Notamacropus eugenii: one gene and its partner. The protein of the gene in region 1 interacts with the protein of each later gene in a pairwise test. Links are inferred from orthologs where the notes say so. Each region holds a gene or a part of one and is shown in the gene's direction. Other genes may lie near its edges. The genes, in order: FLAD1 and PRTFDC1.

Region 1 (11,075 bases):
TTCTATGATAGTAAGTTGTACCTGCCACTGCAACTGTCGGGGCAGATCCCATGTTAACTAGATGTAGAAGAGAAATTCTTTTAATGGATTTTAATGGCACTCTTGCAAAAATTCTAAGACCTTTGTGTTTTGGAAAACAGATAATTTACTAACCACCTATTGGAACGTTTTAATTTGTTCTTGCTATAATATAAAGGTTCTTAAGATATCTCCAATTCTTTCCAACTAGATTTCAGGTTCCTTAAATACAAGGAAAAGACATGGATTTCATTTGTATATCTCACAGGACCTAGCATAGGGTTCTGTACACCCTAGGCAACTGCTAACACCAGCCAACATATATTGGGTGCCTACTCTCATACAAAATGTTGCAGAGAACTAGATAAAAACCCAATACTTCTTAGCTGTTCTTTTAAATAAACTAATAACAGAGACTCATTTATCAGTCCCCCCAATTATTAAATCAGAATAAGGAAAAGTCACTTGTTTGGTCCTGGGGAACATGCCGTTTTGGAACCCCAGCTGAAATGGCTTTGTAGTAGGCCTTGGTTTAAAATATCCTGTGCTACTGTGTTAAATGAAAATTATTTGTTCAGGTTGGTGGTTTTTAATTCTCAGCCTGTTAGCATATAAATCCCTAATCAGGGATTCTGGCAAGAAACATTTATTTGGATACAGAGACACCTTTGTATACAAGGAACATTCAGCAAATATTCATTGACATTACTGAAGCTCAAATTGGGTCACGAGGACTCAGATTTCAAATAATCAAACAGCTCATCTGCCTCCCTGAGTGACTTAGACCCCAGCTCAGAACCTTAGCTAAGAAGTATTTCAAGTTTTCCAAAAAAGGATCAGAAAATTAAAAACCATTTAGTTTTCTACTCTGTACACTGGCTTTTCAGAACCACTATCCACATTCCCTCCCCAGAGTCATGCTCTTTCCCAGATATTGATTAAGATCTATCATCAATCAACTGTTATAAGTATTCTAATAATGCCATTCTCATCAGCATCATTAATCAAATACAGTATTAGTTTTAAAGTTCTCAATAATATATTACAAGTTTTTGAAAGTGTTTCTATAGTAGTCTTGACTGAAGAAATCCCCCATTAGATTGTAAGCTCCCTTGAGAGCAGGAATTGTTATTGTTCCTTTGTATCTTCTCTTTAGTCCATGATATACTTTTCTGTACAGAGTGAAAGGCATAATATAGAGTGTTGATTGCCTAACTGCACCATGCTTAGATGCAAACCATCCCCACATTTCTGTTACAGGCACGTCATGTTGCCCAAGGACATAGCCAAACTGGTCCCTAAGACCCACTTGATGTCTGAGTCTGAGTGGAGGAACCTTGGTGTCCAGCAGAGTCAGGGATGGGTCCATTACATGATCCATGAACCAGGTCAGTGGAAAATCTGAAAGCAACTCTATAGGATAACACTGGAAAAGTAATAAGATCATATATCAATGTAATAAGCTAAGAAGATGGGAAGGGGGAGGAGGGATGTAATAGTTAATAATTTATTGTCTTAAGCATCTGTGCCCATGTAATTGCTGATTATTTTATCTATTTAGGTGGGATAGATGAGTGTTCCCTTGCCCTACATGGAGACCACAAATAGCAAAATATCTAGAGTTCAATGATGGCTTGTCATTTGGTCAGTAAGCCTTTACTATGTGCTAAGCACAAGACAGTCTCTATTCTCAACCAGCTCATAATCTAATGGGGGATACCATAAGCAAACAGATTGTACAAACAAACTGTATGGGATAAATAGGAAATAATTAACAGAAGGAGGACACTAAAATTAAGAAGGAAAGTTGTCCTGTAGAATGTGGGATTTTTGTTGGGACTTGAAGGAAGCCAGAAGGCAGAGATGAGGCGGGAAAGTATTACAGGCATGGGTGACAGCCAGAGAAAATAACTGGAGCCAAGAGATGACTGTCTTGTTCATGGAATAGCAAGGAGGCCAGTATCACTGGATTGAAGAGTATGTAGAGGTGTGTAAGGCCTAAGAAAACATGAAAGGTGGGAGGACAACTTCGAAAGCCAGAGAATTTTGTATTTAATTCTGGAGGCAATAGGAAGCCACTAGAATTTATCGAATAGAGGGATGATATAGTCAGACTTGTGCTTCAGGAAACTCATTTTGACAGCTCTATGAAAAACGGATTGGAGTAGGAAAAGGCCAGTGGCAGGCTGACCTACCAGCAGGCTGTTATAATAATCCAGGCCTGAAGTGATGATAGCCTGCCCTACAGCAGTGGCAGTGTCAGAGGAGAGGTGGAGGTATATTCAAGAAATGTTGGAAAGTGAAGTTGACAGGCTTTGCAACAGATTGGCTATGGAAATGAGAGATGGTGAGGAGTTAAGGATGGCTAAGTTTCAGGCCTGAAGGTCTGGGAGGATGGTGTTTCCCTCTACTGTAATAAGGAAGGTAGGAGGAGAAGGCATTGGGGAAAAGATGAGTTCAGTTTTGGACACAATAAGTTTGTTTAAGATGTCTACTGGACATCCATTCAAGATATCTGAAAAGCAGTTGGGAGCCTGTCTATGTGGACACTCCTCTTAAATTCTGTACTCTCTGATTACGGACTAGTTATAAACTAAAGTCAAATATTCCCTATTAACTATCTCTACCTCCCCTGCTTCTCTGCCCCTCAGAAACCCAATTTTTGTGCTTGGACATCTTTGAACTATAGCCAAAAAAACTTGTTTTTTATAAATCACCAGATAAAACATCAGAAATTCAGCTTCAGGGCAACGCTAATAAAAGACACTTCTATATCTAGGCAAACCACGTAGAGGGAGAATTGATGTGAGCATTAATATATTTGCTGGCAGACCAGGCTGCTTGGTCTTTTTCTAGGGCTGAATGGTAAAATAAAACTTAAGTTCTAAATATTAGAGTGTGCTTATTAACACATAGATGATGACATAAGGGGGAACTAGCTCATGAGAACAGTCCAGTTTGTCTCATCTTATCGAAATATCTATTTCCCTGTCTTCCAGAGCCTCACATTTTGCTGTTCCGGCGGCCACTGCCTAAGAAGCCTAAGAAATGAAAGAGCATGCCATTTCTGTTCCAAGCTGTACATAGCTGTCCTTAACCCGCTAACATCTTTCTGCTAATAGTGTTGCCTTCTTGTTTCTCACTTGGGATATTTAAGGGATGATTAATACACTGTTTGAAAGTGCTGGTGACTTGTTTCTTGAGCAAAGCTGACATCACCACCACTACCCCATTGGGTGCTCTGATGAATGTAACTTCAGCTGAGCTTTGCCTCCAAAAGCCATGGCAAGTTTCTTATCAAGCTGAACACATCAAGTAGATGGACAAAGCACCAAGAGTGACTGAAGATTCATCATTGTTTAGTTGTGGGGCATGTATAATTGTTTGTGTTTTTTTCCCCACCAGGTTGTGTATAAGGTGACTTAATGGATTTATATTTTCATTTGTTGGAAACTTTCCATTTTATTCAAGAAATGTCTGTTCTGTTGAAATCCCTTGAATAAAGAGGAAGTTTTTGTAATTCATTCTTAGATTCCTTCTGCCTGTGATCAGGATGAGTATCATTCATGAGATACCAAGGTCCTAATCTGACTTCAGTACTTTTCGGATAATGAGGCTCATTTCAGGGATTTAATTTCAAAAATATGTTAAGCTGATTATTCTTAGCCATCTGCTGAAAATCTTCATTTCAAACTTTCACTGGTCCAGGGCAGCTCTCTCAAAAAAATGCATTAGTCTGTCACATTTTATATTTGTATGTCTTCTGCCAAAGCATTGCTTTACGAATTCAGGCACGAATAAAGGGAATAATTCCATTCACAACAGTTCCACATATAATCTATGACAAGAATAGATTTTCATCAAGCTAAATTCCCTTTAGTGTAGTGTTGACAGTCTTCTGAGCTAAAGACCCCTCTGAGGTGCTGCTTTTCTACCTATTTCTTTGAACATTTAATAACATTCCCTGTTAAGTGTTTGGCCTGAATAGGATAGTCTACAGATTAGAAGCGGCCAGTTTGAGATCTTGTTCAGGTCACACTGACAGAGTGCAGATATGATACAATGAGCAGTTATGGGAAACAGTTAAGGAGCTGGTAGAAGTTCTTTAAAGAAAAAAAAAATCCAGACACACTAAATAATTATCTTGGTTTCCAAGGACACCCCTTTGGCTTCCTCTTCCTGAGGTGGAGATTCATGAAATTGTCCCGATAAGAAAAAGTTGCTGGGTTTGAATTCTAGGTGGCCTTTGACCAAGTGACTAACCTTTGGTTTGAGTGGATAAGAAGTCAGTCATTCTGTCGTGCTGTTATTGGTTTTTAAAAATGAGACCACTTCTTCCTCATGACAGTCTTACCGGGAGTTGGAGATTTTTAGTCAGATGAAATAGCTCACATTTCTATAGTATCAGGCTTGCAAAGGTTTGGAAAATGAGGCTTGTAGGTTAAGTGATTTTGCCCAAAGCCAGACAGTTACAAAGTATCTTACAACTCTGATGGACTGTCTTGTTTGTCCTCAAAAAGGGCCATGACATCAGGGAGGTGATGCCATGACATGCAAGTGAATTGGATCTAAGTACAGGAGGGCTGTGCAAAGTCACCAGCCTCACTTTCTCCTCCGGTGCCATCTGGGTCCAGGGGCCAGATGTAGATAAGGCAACCAATGGCCCTGGATGCAGTGGGAGACCTTGGCCTCTTTAATCTGAAGCCTTTAACAGGTTTTAGTTTGACTGAGGCAACAACCCAATGAATCACGTGGTTGTTACCTTAAGGCTACAAGCTCCACTTACTAGTGTTGCGTAAACAAGGCCTCCTATAGCAAGCGCTCTAACGCTGGTTACTTAGGAAGGCTAGGGAGAGGGCCTTACCTGTAAATGGCCCTAAAAATAAAAGACAAGTGAACTATGTACTTGACACTGCAGGGAAAGTTCCGGGGCTGCTAAGCATAGCTGGGTGTGGCAAGGTATTAGCTTTCTTTTAAAGATACTTCCAATTCTCGTGTTTTGACTAGGTGCCCAGGGCAGAATTTCCTCCCTCTCCCCAAGAAATGTTCGTCTTTTAGAGGCAATGGACTAGCCGGGCCCTGATCCTCTATTAAGCATCCACAGAAAAGTGCTGTGCCCTCACCTTAGAAGGTGGTGGTGTCTAATCAAAATGTCGTCTCACCCACCAACCAGCTACGTGCCCACTGCACCTTCACCCCGCAACTACTGCGGGCAGAGCTGTGGCCTGTGCTATCGGACTGCGTCCTTTAGTCCCGCCGGGATTCAGCTACAGCAGACCAAAAGCTCTTTGAGGCCCACTGTTAAGACAGTTTCTATGGAAACCTGGCCGGAGGGGGAGGAATGAGGGCACCACCCCGCGTCCCAGCACTTCCGGGCGTGACGGCCACGTGCTCTCCACCAACAACAAGCCGGCGCCTCTCCAGCCCTCCGTTCGGGGACAAGCGAGGGACAGCCGCCTGCGCCAATGAAGCCTCCGGGGGCTGAACGGGGCGGGGAAAGCCCGGGCCAATCGGCGCAGAGCGGTTGTCTAGCTGAGGAGGAACGCTAGCTACGGAAGCCGCGTCGGGACAGCCGGGAGGGAGTTGTTGGAAACAAGTGGGGAAGGGGCAAAGGGGCGGGTGAGAGCGGAGAAATCCTGGCTGGTGGGCAGGGAACCCGCAGCGCGGCCCGAGCGGGATTGGGGGCCCAGTTTGGAAAAAGCGCGCTGTCGGGCCCGGAGAAGGACAGGCATTGTCTCCGCGTGCGGGGCCCAGGGACCGGGCGATTAAGGACACAGGTACCCGACACGCCGAAGCGACGTTTAAAGGGCTGGCAGCGAGCGTGCCGTGGGCTCTGAAAAGGGTGCGTGTGATGTGGGGAAGGGAGCGTCGGGCCGCGATCCAGCGCCGGCCCGAGCTCGCCCGCAGCACGCCTAAGATCCAAACTCCCTTTATTTTGCAGATGGGGAAACGGAGATCCGCAGTCCAGAGAGTTCCGTGACTCATCCAAGGTCGCACAGTGAGTAAGTCACAGAGCTGGGACTCGAACCCAGTGCTGTGTTTTCCCTACTCCAAGGCCCTTCTTCACTTTGCTTCCAGGGGAGTCTGCTGCAGCACAGTGTGCAGTGTGCCACTGAGCAGTCACTCCCCCTTGAGCCTCAGTTTCCCCCTTAGCAAAATAATGGAGTCGTATTAGATCACCCCCTAAAGTCATCCCCAGTGCGGATGTTCTTTGATTCTCCGACCCCCAACTTAAGGATCCTTCACCGTTCCACAGTTTTCCTTTTAGTTCCTTCCATTCTAGTCTTGTCGCCCATCAGGCTGATACCTCACCTGAGCCACAGCTCCTGATTTTCAGTAGAGCTGGCGGGACCCTCATGTTCCCGAGTGCTCGCCCGGGGCCTGGGTGGCTACTGGAGGGTACTACAGGATCGAAGAAGTTGGACCATGGCCACCCCCAGGAAAAATGTGACTGCTGGCATCATCATCATCGGAGATGAAATCCTCAAGGTGGGTGTGTATGGGGGGGGTGTGCGTGTGCACTTGCTCTGGTGTGTACCACACGAAAAGGGGACCCCACCAGCATGCACCTGCGGCAAAGGAGTCCCCGGGAGCATGCCTCAGCAGGCAGGGATGCAGTTGTGGACCTGGACCCTAGGCAGCTCTTCCTTTCTCTCTTTCTTTTCCCAGGAGGATAGCTTATTGATTTTAATTGAGGGGGAGAAACGTTCAGCTTAGTCCAGCTGGGAAAGAGGAAGTGAACTTCCTCTAGTGCCGCTTACTCTAAACTTGCAGGTTCCATGACACAGACCTCCCACTGCCACACACCTAACAACGTGACTGAGCCCTTTGCCAAACTGGTTACTTAACTCACTCCCCTGTTCATTTTGCTCAGCTCTCTTTTTCCCTGGCTTCAGTAAAACTCCCAAAGGAACTCTGTGGAGGTGGGGGTAGGTTATATATTCATTCATCTAACAGACATTTATTGAGCGCCTACTGTATATGTAGGACTGCATATTAAATAGCATGGGAAATGCAAAGCTGTCTATATACTTAAAGAAGGAAGGAGCCTTTTTTAAGTGTTTGCTATGTGCCAGGCACTATGCCAAGTGCTGGGGATAGTAATAAAAGCAAAACCAAGGTACTACCTGCCTTCAGAGAGCTTATATTCTAATGGCAACCAGGTAGCACAGTGCAAGACCCAAAGTCACTTACTAGCTGTGTGACCCTGGGCAGATCACTGAATCTCTTTGCCTCCGTTTCCTCAACTGTAAAATAGGGATAATATAGCTACTATCTCCCAGGGTTTTTGTGAGGATCAAACAAGATAGTAATTGTAGAAGTGCTTAGTACAGTGCCAGACACATAGAAGGTGGCATATAAATGGTAGTTACTAATGGGGAAGACAGCTTACATAAAGGGGGTTAAAGGTAAAAAGTGAAAGGGGAATTACACTCCTGTTGAAATAACTAAAGACCTTTAAGAAGTGCCATTTGAATAAGTGATTCACTGTGTTTGGAGCTCCAAAAAGAAAGAGATCACTTCCAGGTGACTAAGTGAAGATGCATGGAGGAAGCTTTGGAGCTGAACCTTGAAAGTGGTAGAAATGGTGGGGAGGACCTGACGGGGAGGGAACAGCCTGACCAATGGACTGAAGATAAAGAAACACAAGTCCAATTCAGTGAGCAGTAAATAGTCTGATTGGGCTGGAATACAAACATGTAGGCGGGTAGTGCATAGCAAAGTAGCCAGATAATCGAATGCCAAAATGAGGAATTTGGATTGTAGTCAGTGAGAAGTAGAAGGGCACTGAAGGATTTTGACCACTTTGAGCATTATTTTTGGAGGACTGGTCTGAGTGTCCTGTGTAAGATGGGTAGAGGAGAGGAGAGCCTGGAAGGAAGATTGGGGACATGGTAACAGTGCAGGCCAGAAGAGATGAAAGAGGACCTAATTCAGGATGTTAGCAGTGAAAATGGAAGAGCACTGGACTAACTGGGTTCAAATGTCAGATTTGCCATGTAAAAATTGGGAGACTTAGAATAGACAGGACTTGGCAACTGATTAGAAATGAAGGAGAAGGGAAAGAAAAAAGTTACGTCATTCTGAAATAGGAAATTCATGAGCAATGGCAGGTTCTAGGAGAAGCATAGCTTTATTTTGGACCTAATGAGTTGCAGCAGTACATCTGAGTAGATACATTCAGGAGCAATTGAAGATATGAGAGCTCAAAGGAGTAGTAAGTGCTGGAAATAAATGATTGAGGAGTCATCTTCATGGAGGTGATGTTTGAAGCTATGACACTAGACAGTCTCACCAAAAGAGAAGAGTATAAGGCTAAGTAGAGCATCATGGATCTGACTCAGTGAGTGACTCCGTTCCAAATCTTAACCCTAAATGATTTTCCATTATCCACTCTCACTCATTTCTCTCTCCCATCTCCCTATCTCTATGGTACCTCCAAGAAAGAGACTTTCTTTTCCAACACGTGGGAGTAGCTACCCTCCCTCCACAAAACAAAACATCAAATCTCTTTACTCTCTGTCCCCCACTTTCCCCAGGGCTATACTCAGGACACCAACACCTATTTTCTGTGCCGGACTCTTCGCTCCATGGGTGTACGGGTGTCCCGGATCTCTGTGGTACCAGATGAGGTGATGGCCATTGCAGAGGAGGTGGCTTCCTTCTCTGCCCGCTTCACCCATGTCCTCACCTCTGGTGGCATTGGACCCACTCATGACGATATCACCTTTGAGGCTGTAGCCCAGGCTTTTGGAGACAAACTCCAGCCCCATCCTGAGTTGGAAAAAGCTGTGAGAGCCCTGGGGGGCACTGGGCAAGAGAAGCTGGTTCAGGTGCCTTCCACTGCCTGTCTGCACTATGGTACTGACCCTGAAACTGGAGTCCCCTTCCGATTCCCCTTGGTTTCTGTCCGGAATGTCTACCTCTTCCCAGGCATTCCAGAACTGCAGCAGCGGGTACTCGGGGGGCTATCAAGTCTATTCCGGAATGAAGGGGTGCAATTCCACCTTCGAGAGTTATACCTGACAGTGGAGGAATCGGCAGTTGCTTCCATTCTCACAGAAGCACAGGCTCACTTTGGACGAAGACTTGGCATTGGTTCCTATCCAGAGTGGAGCAGTAATTACTACCGGGTTAAGCTGACCCTGGACTCAGATGAAGAGGCAGCAGTGGAGGAAGCGAAGGCCTATCTGACTGCTCACTTACCTCCTGGAGCCCTGGTGCCATTTGTACCCAATGCAGTGGAGAAGGCTGGGGAAGCTGTGTACAAGTTAGCCCAGTCAGGTAAGAAGAAGGCTGTGGAGGATGGGAAGCGGGCATTGCATTCCTTTGGCTATCTCCTGTCCCTGGCAGAAGTTTTTGTATTTGTCTTAGGAATGGGTTCAGTAGCCAGTAGATCTTGTAAAAAGAGGTGCAGTTTGCTACCTGTAGTTTTCCTTTCCGTCCAAATAGTGCTAGTGAATAGGCAGTGAGACCTTCACTCTGCTTTTGGATACTGCCTCTGATTTCTCAGAAAGCCACTGCTTGTCAGGGAAGGAATGCATATAGAGAAAATGCATGCTTCCCAGGCAAAGGGCTGGACTAGAGATGACCTCTTTAGCTTTCTTTAAACTCTCAGATTCTGTATGTTCTAGTGTTCAGAGAACTAACTTGGTTCTAGCCCCTGGGGTGGGATCCAGTGGAAGGGATGTTAAGCTGTACAGAGGCTGGGAAAGTCCTGAGGAATCATTGCATGATCCCCTCTGACTGTTCATGCCTATGTCTCCCCTGTGCTCCCAATATTCCTGGCAGGAACTCCCCTGGGGAAGAAGGTAGCAGGGGCCCTGAAGACAATGGAGGAGGCCCTGTCGAGGTACAGCCTGACCCAGCTCTGTGTGGGCTTCAACGGGGGAAAGGACTGCACTGCCCTTCTACACCTCTTCCACGCTGCTGTCCAGAGGTACTGCAAGTCCTGGGAGAGGCCCTCCCAAGATGCATGTTCCCCCACTGCTTACCACCAGTGGCTCCCCTCCCTCCTTCCTGGGTCCATTCACTCTGTTTCTCCCTCCTGGATGTGTGTCGGTGTTGAGGAGGAAGTCTATTCATATCAGTTCAACGAGGATTTGTATGTAGAGTGTCTTTTATGTACATGCAAGGCCCTATGCAGGAACTAGGGAAGATACCTAAGGTTCATTAGACGCAAGCCCTACCCCCATGGAGCTTACAGTCTTGTTGATGTGACATTAGTGGAGTACATGACAACCAAAGAGCAGTGAAAACACGTTCACTAACCAAATGTTGGATCATGTTCTGTAGAAGATAAATATTTAACAAGTTGGGAGAAATCAGGCTAGGGCTGGCTTCCTGGAGGAAGGAAATATTAAGCTGGACCTTGAGAGGTGGGATGTGCAGGATTTAGATATAAGAAGACAAAGGAGGGCATTCCAGGATGGGGTGGGGGAGAGGCTAGTGTACATACACTGTTTTAGGGGGCACTCTACACAAATGGAGGAACCTGTGGGTCCTCCTGACCCTTCTCATCACCTACCCAAAGGAAATTCCCAGAGCACAAGGTCCCGCTGAAGATTCTCTACATCCGTAGCATCTCCCCCTTCCCAGAACTGGAGCAGTTTCTGAAGGAGACAGCCAAGAGGTACTGGGGATCAGGAATTTCAGGCTGGGAAGGCTGAGGGTTATGGGGGTTAAGAGGAGTGGGGAGTTGTTTGATTATGGGTTCAAGAGGTGGTTTATGGGCCTCTCCAGGTATAAGCTGCAAGTCTTACAGGCTGAGGGTGACATGAAGCAGGCATTGAGTGATCTTAGGGCACAGAACCCCCAGCTGGAGGCTGTGTTGATGGGCACAAGGAGAACGGATCCTTCATCCCGAAGCCTCAGTCCCCTCAGTCCCACTGACCCAGACTGGCCCCAGTATATGCGCATCAACCCACTACTGGTGAGAGAGAAAACATTCCCAACTCATACTGCCACCTTCCATCCCCTGAGACTCCCATCTTTTCTTCATGTAGAATAAGATAAGTGATGTTTTGGGAAAACTCAGGAGGGATCAGAGAGAAACT
Region 2 (11,462 bases), on another chromosome or scaffold:
TCTTCATGGTTTTCGCTATGGTAGGAACCATCTGATTATAGAAGAGGTATTATAAATGATGGTACATGACTATCTTATTGTTCTCATTTGTTAATAAAATTATGCATTCAGAAATTTTAATTCTGTCGTACTTGTATGTTCATTAATTATACAGATAAATAAGAACAATTACTATTGAGGAAGGACAGTTCTTTATTTCATTAAATAAATAATAATGAATTAGAGTGGGGAATTGAACTAATGACTTAATGAAAGACATCACAAGCTGACTAATGAGAAACAAATTATTCTATCGATAAAATTAAATATATAACAAGGAGTCAAATAGCAGGCCCAAGATGGGTGACCTACAAGTGCCTGTGGTCAGACCCCAGATCCCAAACTCCACTGAACCTGCTGCTTGTGGGGTTCATGTCTTTCTCTCTTTGGACTTGCTACCTAAAGGTAAGGAAAAATAGGAAAAAGCTCAATGCATTTCCCTTGCCTTGGGTTTTCAGAGCTGTGAATCTCACTCTTTTTACATCTAAACAGAACTAAATTCACTATCTGCTTATGCTCCTAATTCTAAATTTTCTGATTTTTCTGTATCCAGCATGTTTTCTTATGCCAGCCCTAACTTGTCTCTGGGCAGTAATTTCAGGCTACCCTTTACTTGTGTTTCACCATATAAAAGACAGTTCTCTTTTCTTTGCTAACATTATCTCATTAATTCTCACCACATCCCAGACTAATAACACCTTACATTTTGGCAATATTTTTCCAAGGGCCTTTCACATATATTATCTTATTTAACACACACATTATGTAATCTTAGAGGATAAGACAGGTCTTTATCCTCCCCGTTTTACAATTAGAACAGCTGAGGCACTGGGATGATAAGTGACTTGACCATGTGATATGAATTATCATGGATAGTTAAATGGCAGAAGTAGGACAAGAACAAAAAACTTCTGACTTCTAGTCAAAAAATCTTCATAGGAGATCAGTGAGGCATACCCAGCACACTTTCCCCCAGACTATACAATATGCCAATGTCAAGTTAAGGGATAGAGCCTAGATACCTGAGTTAATGTTATTCCTTGAAAAATAAACTTTGCACTATCTAATAAATATTCTATAAGGGTTTCCTTGCACCAGTTTCCAACCCTTGATAATGAATTTTATCCTTTTAAGATAATACATCAAAACTATCTTATAAAGAAACACCTGAAGTCAGAGGAGACAGATAGCAAAATTAATCAAGTCTACTCTTTTTTTCCTTATTTCTCATGCTCAGCAAGCACTTCTTGCTTTGGATGAATAGGCAAATGGATATTTCCAATGCTGTGGTTATATGGTTTCCATTCCCTCAATTGACAACCTGCAATTTTTCAGAGTGTAGCTATGGGGTTGCATGTAAAAATTATTTTTAATTCTTACTATAAAAAGAGATACTATAGATCCTTGTGATTTTCAACATTTGCTAGTTCTGTTATCTTGCAGTTTCATACAATTTCCACAACTAGATCATAAGTTATCTAATGGCAGGGGTCTGTTTTCTATTTCCTGTCATAGGATCCAGGTTGGCAATCAAACCCTGAACACTACACAGATTCCATAGTGAAATTCATAAAAATGCAAAAGACATCGATCTAACCATTTGCCCTGGAAAAACTAAATGAAAATTCATATTGCTTTATAACATTATAGCATGTAGGTACGTAGGCAACTGACAAGTTAGTTCACAAACATAAATATATGAGATAAGTGCTGCACATGGATAATGATTTGAGACTGGAATTAAACTGATATCAAGTTAGAATGTCATCAGGAAATTGTGAAGTGCTTTCACTGCTCCCTAAACAAAAAAATAAATTGAAAGGAAGACTTCTAGTTCATTGAACACTCCCTTTATGGAAATTTTATGGTGAAACAGGGACAAGAATAGTATAGGATGGAGTATAAGAGGATTTCAGTCTTTTTCATTGGAGTTAGTATTCACAGAGATGGAATAATTTTTCAACTATTAAGTGAAGATAAAGCATCTGATAACTCACTATATATTGCTTGATGGCTTTTACAAAGTATTTATAAGATCATAGATTTAGAGCTGTAAGGGATCTCAGAAATCACCTTGTCTAATCCCCTAATTTTATATAGAAAGAAACTAAGGCCCCCACAGGGTCAACTACTCGCCCAAGGTCATATGGGTATAGATGGCAAGTTCAGAATTAAAACTGGGGTCCTCTGACTTCAAATCCATCATCATTTTCCCTGTGCCGCTGCTGTCTCTATATAGTAACTGCTAAAGTGCTTTAAGGTTTAAAAAGCATGACATACATATATGTGCACATATGTGTATACCATACATATATGTAATCGAATGTGATCCCTACAATGACTCTGTTCAATAGGTGTTATTCTTATCCTCATTTTATATATGAGGAAACTGAAACTCAGAGAGGTTAAGGACCGTTCAGGGTCACGCAACTAGTTAGCGTCTGAGGAAGAACTCAAATTCAGGTCTTCCAGATTCCAAGCTGAACACTTGTTACTCTCAGCCAAATGCCTACATACGTTAATTAACTGATCTATAACCATATATATATGTGTGTGTGTGTGTGTGTGTGTGTGTGTGTGTATACATATATGTATAGAAGTGAGCTGGTGACCTGCACAGCCCTCCCTCACTCAAAACAAAGTCAAGTGCAAGTCATGTCATCATTTCTCTGATGACATGGTTTTCTTCAGTAACAAAGGACAAACACGATATATATATATGTGGAGTAATGGATAGAGAATGAGGAAATTGGGTTCACATCTTTCCTGCCTCTGACACATAGATTGTGGGACTCTTAGTAACTCATTTGGAAGTGCCCTCTCCCAATACTCTAAGACTACTAGTCACAGAACAATTGTCTCTATATTTCCTCCCCCAGATTTTTACATAGTAGAAAGCATAATTTGCCTAATGGTGCCAGTTTGGTCAATGAGTATATTCATCCCTCATAAAAGGTTGCAATAGCATTGTTAAAGTTACAAATTATGAGATTTTCAGAGAAATGGGAAGACCAGTATAAATTGATGAAGAATGAGGTGAGCCAAATGACTAAAATAGTGTAAATGAAACAACTGATGGAGAAGTGGGTGAAATATGGATATGAACGTTGCATACTTTGGTATATAAGTGACTGGGTCAATTATATTTGCTTGTATTTTTCTTTGCAACAAGACAAGGTTCAGAGAGGAGAGGGATTTTCTCAAGAAATTACTATGGTGGAAAAACCAAAGGCATCGATAAGACTTGTAAAAAAGTTGTTGTTAAGGGAAATGGGGGAAAAAAACACAGAGCAGACAAAAGGTAAATGCTGCAAAATTACAAAATAAAACAAACAAACAAATGAACAATATGGCCCTAAAGATGAAAATGGGAAGATACCTCCAGCCTATTCCTTTGAAGATGTGAGAGGTTCATGGCTATGGTACATTGCATGTTTTCCTACTTTTTCAATGTATTAATTGGTTTTTTGCTGTCTCTCTTTTTTCTTTAAAAATATTGTTTGCTATATGGGATAACTTTTTGGAAAGGACAGAAGAAGGGATACTGAGAGACATATGCTGGTGGTGTAAAAACCAAAGAAATCAATAAAATTTATTTTAAGTCATGGTTAATGAATTATAACCCAAACCTAGTATAAAGTCACTAAATTCTAGCTGCCCATGTATACATGGTTCTTATGTAATAAACTTCCCATAAAGCATCATTTTACCTTCTTTGATTCAATACAATTCAACAAACATGAAGTACCTACTATGTGATAGGAACTAGGCTCTGATGATTCAAAGACAAAAATGAAAGTACCTTCCTTTGAGGTGTTTACATTCTAGGGAAGGCTACAACATGAAGGCAGATAAGTAAATGAATATAATGGAATCTGAAGTGATGGTACATCACCAAGGAGGGTGGAAGGATCTGAGAAGGTGCACTTTTTGCTTTTGTGAAATCAATGAAAAATGTTCATTGGAGGCAGCTCTGGACCCATTTTCACTATTTTGGTGTGATTATGCTTACCTGAGCACCCTTCTTATCCTCATGTGTTCACTGATATTTTCCATTTTAGGTAAAATGACTCTCATACATGAGTTTAAGCACCAAAATTAACTAAGTTGCATTATTCTGCCCTGTTGATTTGGAAACCACCACATTTCATAGACACTTAGAATCTTTTTAAACATGCTCTTCATGTTCAGGAGACTGTGTTCATGCAGCTGATATGTTTTCCCACCCTGTAGGTGTTCAATAAAAATTAGTTGATGACTATCCTCTCCTCCCATCCCTTAAGCTTGGCAAAGGTCATATTCCTTTTCCTGGCTTCTACACAAATCTGAAGAATAAAACAGTAATCCTTGGAAAGAATTCTGAGTCAGGCCCTTGGTGGAGTACTATGTCCAGTTCTGGGCTCCATAATTTGAGGGGGTGTGGAAAACTTGGAAAGAATTCAAAGATGGGGGTCATGGATTTATAGAAAGTGGAAAACACACACATCATAGATTCTCATATGTCTGGGGATGGTTTAAGAATGTTTTAGCAAGCCAGAAGTTATACTGAATCTTTTCCCAAGTCCCTTTTAGGTCTCAATTGGGTTATTCTAAAATGTACCAAGCTGATTCAGATTTCATAGTGTCAGTTCAAATATCATAGAATCCAAAGTCCCAGTGCTAGAAGGGACCTGAATGGATCTATTTTCAGAGGACCACAGAACTTCAGAGTTGGAAGGGACCTCGGCAGCCTAATACAGTTCATATTTGAGAAAGACCCTCCACCTTAAGTTCTCCAACTCACACCCTTAGGGGAATACTGTGTCCAGTTCTGGGCTCCACAACTTGAGGGGATGTGGAAAACTTGGAGAGAGTTCAGAGACCATGATCATTAATAAAAATGGGAAAAACACATATCACAAGTACTCATGTGTCTAGGATATGACCTTAGAGGCGCCTGATTTCTTTGAGGAACAGAGTTGAGAATCTGGCAGGATAAAAGCAAATGGAAATCCCCTGCTGCCCCTTCATTCTCTTAGAAATCTATATTGGTCAATATGTGGCTTTATTTTTCTTGACTAAACATAGTTGTTACAAGAGAGAGATTCTATGGAGAGGAAGGTCCTGTGGTAAGTAGCAATAGATAACAGAAAGGGGGAGAAAAAGAGGATCCATAAGACGTCTTAAAATTCACAGAAGAAATAAAAAAGAATTCCAGAATGGAGATACAAAAAGAGCAATTTTTTTTTACTACCAGGATAATTGTAATTTGTCCAGCTTTCTATAAAAAAAACAAACTATGCATGGCAGTTCTGTGTGTTTATACAATCCTCCTTTTTTTCTAAACAACTGGAATTTTTTGTTTTTGTTTTTGTGTTTCCTAAAGATTAAATTCAGGTTTTAAAAGAAAATGTTTGGGAGGGGGGAGAACTGAAACAGTCGACACTGCTTTTTTCATTTTTCTGAATAGTTCAGGACTTTCAAAGACCTCAGGGACGCGAGCACCCCGGGGCACCCACCTCAGCAGCTGGGGGAACATACACCGGGCATAGGAGGGGCTGCCAAGTAGCCCCGGCCAGCGCGGAGGCTCCCAGAGCTGGCAGCAGGTCTTCAGGTATCGTATTAGGGCATCCTCCCGAAGCTCAGCGCCGAGGAGGAAAAAAGCAGAAGGAGGAGTTGGCGTCCGGCCAATGAGAGCCCGGGGCAGCAGAGCCATCCTTTCCCGCCAGCTGGCTGGGGGCAGGGGCGGAGCTGTCCCCCAGAGGCCGGTGCCCGGCGCCGCATCCCCTCCCCTCCCTGCCCCCGCCCCTCTTGCCCATTCACCCCCTCCCTGGAGCTCCGGGCTCCCTTTCTTTCCTTACTTCCTGCTTTCCTCCGGGAGAAACATGGCTGGGAAGAGAGAGGAGGCGCGAGACGAAAGGCGAGGGGTCGTGGTAAATGGAAACTCCTGATTTCCGGGCAGTAGTGAGCGCCCACACCCTCCGTATCTCCTTCATCCCTCCCTCCAGGCTGCTACCCTTGGCCATCTCTTTGCAGACTGGAATTCTCCCTCTTAGAGGAGGAGGAAAACCCTCGGGCGGCGCTCAGTGTCTCCCAGGGATACTTTGTTTCCATCTTCTAACAAAGACCCTCCATCCTTAGCCCTAGAAAAATCCAACCCAGCAAATAGCTTTTTCTTTTTTTTCTCTTTCTCAATCTTTTCCACACTCCAACCTTCTCTTCTCTTCCACTCACAAAAGCCCCAGCCGCCCTACCAGCACCCTGGCCTTTGACCTTGCCTTTTGTTCTTGCTCTAACCTTGCAAACTCCAGGCCTAGCTTTTAGAAATGGGAGTGAAGGGTTAGAGATGGGGAGGATGCAGGTAAGAGAGGCAGGTGGGTCTGCGCTTTGTAACCTTCCCTTTGGTTTTTCTTACCTTCCTTTCCGCCTACCTCCACTGCCTTGAGACTACCGTAAGATTAAAAGAAAAATTCGACCGAATCAGTGTGGGATTATGAGAGTTAGGCAGCTGACCTCTGAACCTCTGTCCTTACCTGGAGAACCAGCCCCTCTAGGGTGTGAGACCCCTGGTGCTTAAAGGTGTTTGCTCTGATCTTTTATATAATCGCCTTCCACTCTTCCATCTCTGGCTGTGATCCAGCATCAACTCAGGTTAAAGGTGGAAGCTGTTTTCCCCATGCTAAGCAAAGCCCCGAAAATATCTTTTACAGGGTGTTACATGGCCTATAGAATTCCATTCAGTGTTAATGATATTGGAAATACTGGCCTTGGTATCCCCCCAAAATCTTATTGTTTTGGGGCTAGGTCAGTTCAGTTCAATACATTTTTGTGGAATTGAATGGGATCTGTAAGTTAACCCGGAAATAATATTTACTTGCATAAATGGAGTGAGGAGAAGAAGAAAATAAAAATGGACAGAGGCAGGTAGGGACTAAGGGTCCTTCATTTTCGAACTTGTTGTTCAAGCTTTCATTTAACAAGGGGGATTGTGAAAGTGGCATGGTTTTAGTGGAAATCCATTGATTTGGAGTCAGAAGACCTCAGTTGAAATCCTGGTCTCTGTACTCTACTACCTGTGTATTCAGTTACTCCTTGGGTAAGTTACTTCTCTGGGTCTCAGTTTCTTGGATAATATGATCTCTAAGGATGCGTTTCATCACCAATTCAACGTAAACAATATCCCCAAAGTCTCAAGCTTTAGTAGCTTAAACCTGCACCAAGACTTATATCGAACCTGGTTTTTATGACCCTCCATATTAATAGTAATGTTGCTTTACTTTTAGCTCCAGTGCTTTAAGGTTTACAAAATGCTTTACATTTATTATCCCCCTTGAGGAGGTTCATGGGTCTTGGCATTAAAATATGCTGTGGTACGCATTTTCGTGCTCACTTGGATGTGTTTTCGGAAAAGAGCAAACACTTTCAAAATTGGGTAGTTATGAGAACAATCGCTCGGAATGTTTTGGCTTCTGCCTCAAGCAATTAAATTTTCAGTCACTGAACTGAAGCTTTCCCTTCCAGTAAAGAATCCACCAAGAAATTTCTCTCAAAATTAATTTCCTTGACCAAAAAACAGCCCAAAGAAAACAACCCTAAAAGAAGTTAAGATTATAGCTTACTGTTGTTTCCCCATTTCCACTATCACAAAATTAAACCAGTATAAAGAGGGGAGGTCAGAGAGGTAAAATTTCTCACAGCTTAGAACCAGCTGGCTATAATGGTTCTGTGTTCTGAGTTCGGATAATATTTAAAACAGCTTATTTAAGTGCCTCCCTCACAAAGATCCTGTAAGGAATATGCTACATAGGGTCTCCAATTTAGACTTCAAAAAGATCTTAGAAATTGTGTAGTGTGACTCACTCATTTTACATTTGAGGAAACTGAGGCCTATAGAAACTAAGGTGACTTTCTCAATGTTATACAAGTGGTAGTGGTGGAGTCTGGATTAAAAGAGAAAACTGGGGTACAGAAAATTATGTGATTAAACTACCTAGAGTAGGGCGGGATTCTAACCCTCACTGATCCTGGATGTAGTCCAGCATTATTTATACTTAGATATTTACGGGGCTACCTTTTGCGACCCTGGACAAATCCCCCTGGGTTTCACTTTATTAATAAAATGTGAGAGTGTGTGACCTTGATCCTCTCTGAGATCTCATTGAACTCTGCCTTTTGGAAAGGAACCATGTAATGTGTATGTTTTATGGTTTCTGATGAGGAAATACTCTTATGCCCAGGTCAGCACTTTCTCTACAGTTTAGTCTTAGAGAGTTCCTGGGGTGCTTACAGGTTAAGTGACTTGTTATTAAGAGCAAGAATTCATATTTTTTTGACCTCAGGGTTGGCTTACTACCCACTATTACTTGGAGCTAGGTGGCACAGTAGTGTATCCAGGGCTGAGCCTGGAGCTAGAAAGTTGTTCATTTCAGTTTAAGGTTTTCTTGGCACATTCCCTTCTCTAGCTCATTTTGTAGATGAGGAAACAAGTTTAAGTGACTTGCCCAGGGCCACACAGCTAGTAAATATCTGATGCCAGATTTGAATTCAGGAAAATGAGTTTTCCTAATGCCAGACTTGGTACTCTATCCACTGCGTCACTAGGCTGCCCAGGAAGTCAGGAAGACCTAGGTGTAAATCCAGCCTCAGACTGACTATGCGACTTTGAGTAAGTCATTTTACCTCTCTTTGCCTCAGTTTCCTCTTCTGTATTATCTGGGGATAGAAATAGATCTCACCTCCCCTTGTTGTCATGAGGATCAAATGAGATATTTGTAAAGCACTTAGCTTAGTGTGCACACTTAATTAATGCTAGATATTTTTCCATACTACCTTAATGCCATATGACTACTAAAATGACTGTTCCAAAGAAGATAGAAAATAAAGTGTGAGTAATTTGTATTCAAGATAGAAAATAAGTGAGTAATAAGTAGTGTTGCTAAAATGTCATGCTAAAAATGTACATCTTTTATTCAGATACTGTAACTTTTGAAGTACTTGGCTCTTTGAGTACTCCCATAAAGCAGCAAATCATGTGTAAAGTATGTGAAAAGGATTCTGAAAGGTAGATCAATCAACCAGTCAATGATTATTTATTAAACACTTACTGTGTGCCAGAGCTGGGGTGTTTATACAAGTAGAAAGAAAGATAACCCCTACCCTCAAGGAACTTACATTTTAGTGGGAAAAGACCACACATAAGAGAAAGCTGAAGAGGTCAGGAAAGAGACTAGGGTGCCTTATGTTGTGCTGGGCATGGTAAAGGAAATCCTGAGTCATCGTCGGCCTAGACACCCTCCCTAAGTGAGGTTTCTAGGTGGAGCTGTCCGATCAGAGTGATGCCACAGGATGAGTCCAATATATGAATTTCAGGGATGCAAGAGGCTTCAGGTTGATGGAGGAAATCCAGTGGAGAGCCCCATAGGCTCTGTATCCTTGGGTGATTTGAGACAAGTGTTTTTAACCTGAGGTCTGTGAACTTTTAAAAAGTATTTTGATAACCATTTCAATATAACTGGTTTCCTTTGTAACTTACATATTTTATTTTATGCATTTAAAACACTTTTCTGAGAGTTTACAGGCTTACCAAAGTATCAAAGGAATTAATGACACAAGAGTTAAGCACCCCTGATTTAAGGGAATATATAGCATGGGGGAGAAGACATTGAGATCAGGAAACAGTTGACTGCAATATAGAGTCTGGGAAAGGCAGTAATGTGGAAAAAAATCTGGAAAGATAGGTTGGGGCTACATTTTGGAGGCTGAGAAGTCTGTATTATATCCTAGAGGCAATGGGAAAGCCAGTGGAAAAGTCATAGTGTTTTTCCCTCCTGTGTATGTAATTAAAAGGAAAATAAAAAACTGAAAACCCTTAATCTGAGCACCTGCTCCTTAACACTTAGAAACTGATTAGAATTTTCCCTTGGTTATTCCCAGGCTTAAAAAAGGAATTAAAAATTCACTGCAGAAAATCCCCATGCAGATGATCCAAAATCATTTGTATTTGCAAAATAAAGTCTGCTTTAAAACTGGTCCAATTGTAACATTAGGCAAAGAATTTTTTTTTGTTGTTGGCAGTTTTTATAAGTATAGGAACTTGAGGAGATCTAAGGATTTTAAATTCAAATGTATTTCATATTTTAGATGAAACCAGAATCTGGTTGATTACTATTGTAAGAAGTTTTCATTCCTCTTTCTGAATTAATCATGTTATGGGGTTCAGAGACAGCAAGAATTATTATATTGAAGGCCAGGCTCAAGCCCAGCCTATTACACAGAGATTCTGTGACCCTGGACAAGTTACTTAACTTCTCAGCCCCCTAGGTAGCTCTCAAAGACTATAAATCACTGATGACTTGCTAATGTACATCAGAAAAGGGAATTTCCACACCTGTAGTCTCTCACATTAATAAAATCTCAAGTCTGAACCTAAAGTCAGCCAAGTAGTATGATGGACAGAGTGCTGGACCTGGAAGACTTGGATTCAAATTTGGCATCACTCTTATTATTTGACCCTGAGCAAATTACTTAACTTTTCTGCCTCTATTTCCTCATCTGTAAAATGGGAATGGTAATAGTCATGAGTTAAAAAGAACATTGACAAGCTTGTCCAAAGGAGGGCAAATGAAGATGGTGAAAGGCCTTAATCCCATGTCATATGAGGATAAGCTAAAGGAACTTGGGATGTGTAGGTTGGAGAAAAAAAAGATGTAAGGAGGATAGTACATGTAAATGATAGTTGTATGTGTTTGACAGATATAGAGGCAGACTTAATGCCATCTGCCTATTTAAGTTAAGAGGACTTGAATATCACTGAACAGTGAACATAAGGAGGTTTACTTTGCCTAATGCTGCAAGGATACAGTGGCATTTAGTTTCCTTGAATGTTGCCTTATATCCATATGTAAATGTGTCTGGTCAACAAGGCAGGGTATAGTGACTTAGTTGGTAGTCAAAAATCCAAGTCAGGGGCCCTGATTCCATTCAGCAGGACTTTTCATACCCTTAGATGACCAGCAAGTTGAGTCAAAGACAGAGACTTGGTCAATCAAATCCCTGAGACAACTTTGTTACTTTTTAGGGGGAAATAACCCCTATTATGAAGGGAGAACCTAGTCCTTCACAGCAATGTGTGGGGGAGAGATTATACTTACTGTGTTTGGCATCAGAGGGCTGGATTAGGTACAAAGGGATAAAGTCACAAAGTGACAAATTTAGTTTTGAAGTCAGGAGAAACTTCCTTACAAATATAGTTATTGAAAAGTTGAAGAAGTTGTAGAATCCTCCTCCTCACAGATTGTCAAGGAGAAGGCTGGATGAGCACCTGTTGGGAAGGTTACGTCAGGGACGCCTTTTTGGTATGGACTGGACTAGAAGACCTCTGATGTCCCTTCTAGCGTTCCAGTTTTGTTATTCTGTGATTCTATGAATTCTTGTCTTGCATTTTG

The links.
Region 2: the proteins of FLAD1 (region 1) and PRTFDC1 interact in binary tests that used the Homo sapiens proteins (3 or more experiments, as listed by UniProt). The two-hybrid records come from large-scale screens. The link is inferred for Notamacropus eugenii from reciprocal best matches to the Homo sapiens genes FLAD1 and PRTFDC1.

What each region holds. Positions count from the first base shown.
Region 1 is NC_092873.1:379,068,692-379,079,766, forward strand, and holds the start of FLAD1 (FAD synthase), read left to right. Parts: upstream 1-5,557; 5' UTR 5,558-5,795; exon of another isoform or gene 5,796-5,860; intron 5,861-5,959; 5' UTR 5,960-6,020; exon of another isoform or gene 6,021-6,355; 5' UTR 6,356-6,444; coding exon 6,445-6,507; intron 6,508-8,558; coding exon 8,559-9,303; intron 9,304-9,810; coding exon 9,811-9,958; intron 9,959-10,487; exon of another isoform or gene 10,488-10,552; coding exon 10,553-10,651; intron 10,652-10,761; coding exon 10,762-10,951; intron 10,952-11,075. Other genes in the region: CKS1B (cyclin-dependent kinases regulatory subunit 1), read left to right, coding at 1,279-1,406, 3,018-3,070. UniProt on the Homo sapiens protein: Catalyzes the adenylation of flavin mononucleotide (FMN) to form flavin adenine dinucleotide (FAD) coenzyme.
Region 2 is NC_092874.1:65,761,927-65,773,388, reverse strand, and holds the start of PRTFDC1 (phosphoribosyltransferase domain-containing protein 1), read left to right. Parts: upstream 1-5,822; 5' UTR 5,823-5,903; coding exon 5,904-5,951; exon of another isoform or gene 5,952-7,428; intron 7,429-11,462. UniProt on the Homo sapiens protein: Has low, barely detectable phosphoribosyltransferase activity (in vitro). Binds GMP, IMP and alpha-D-5-phosphoribosyl 1-pyrophosphate (PRPP). Is not expected to contribute to purine metabolism or GMP salvage.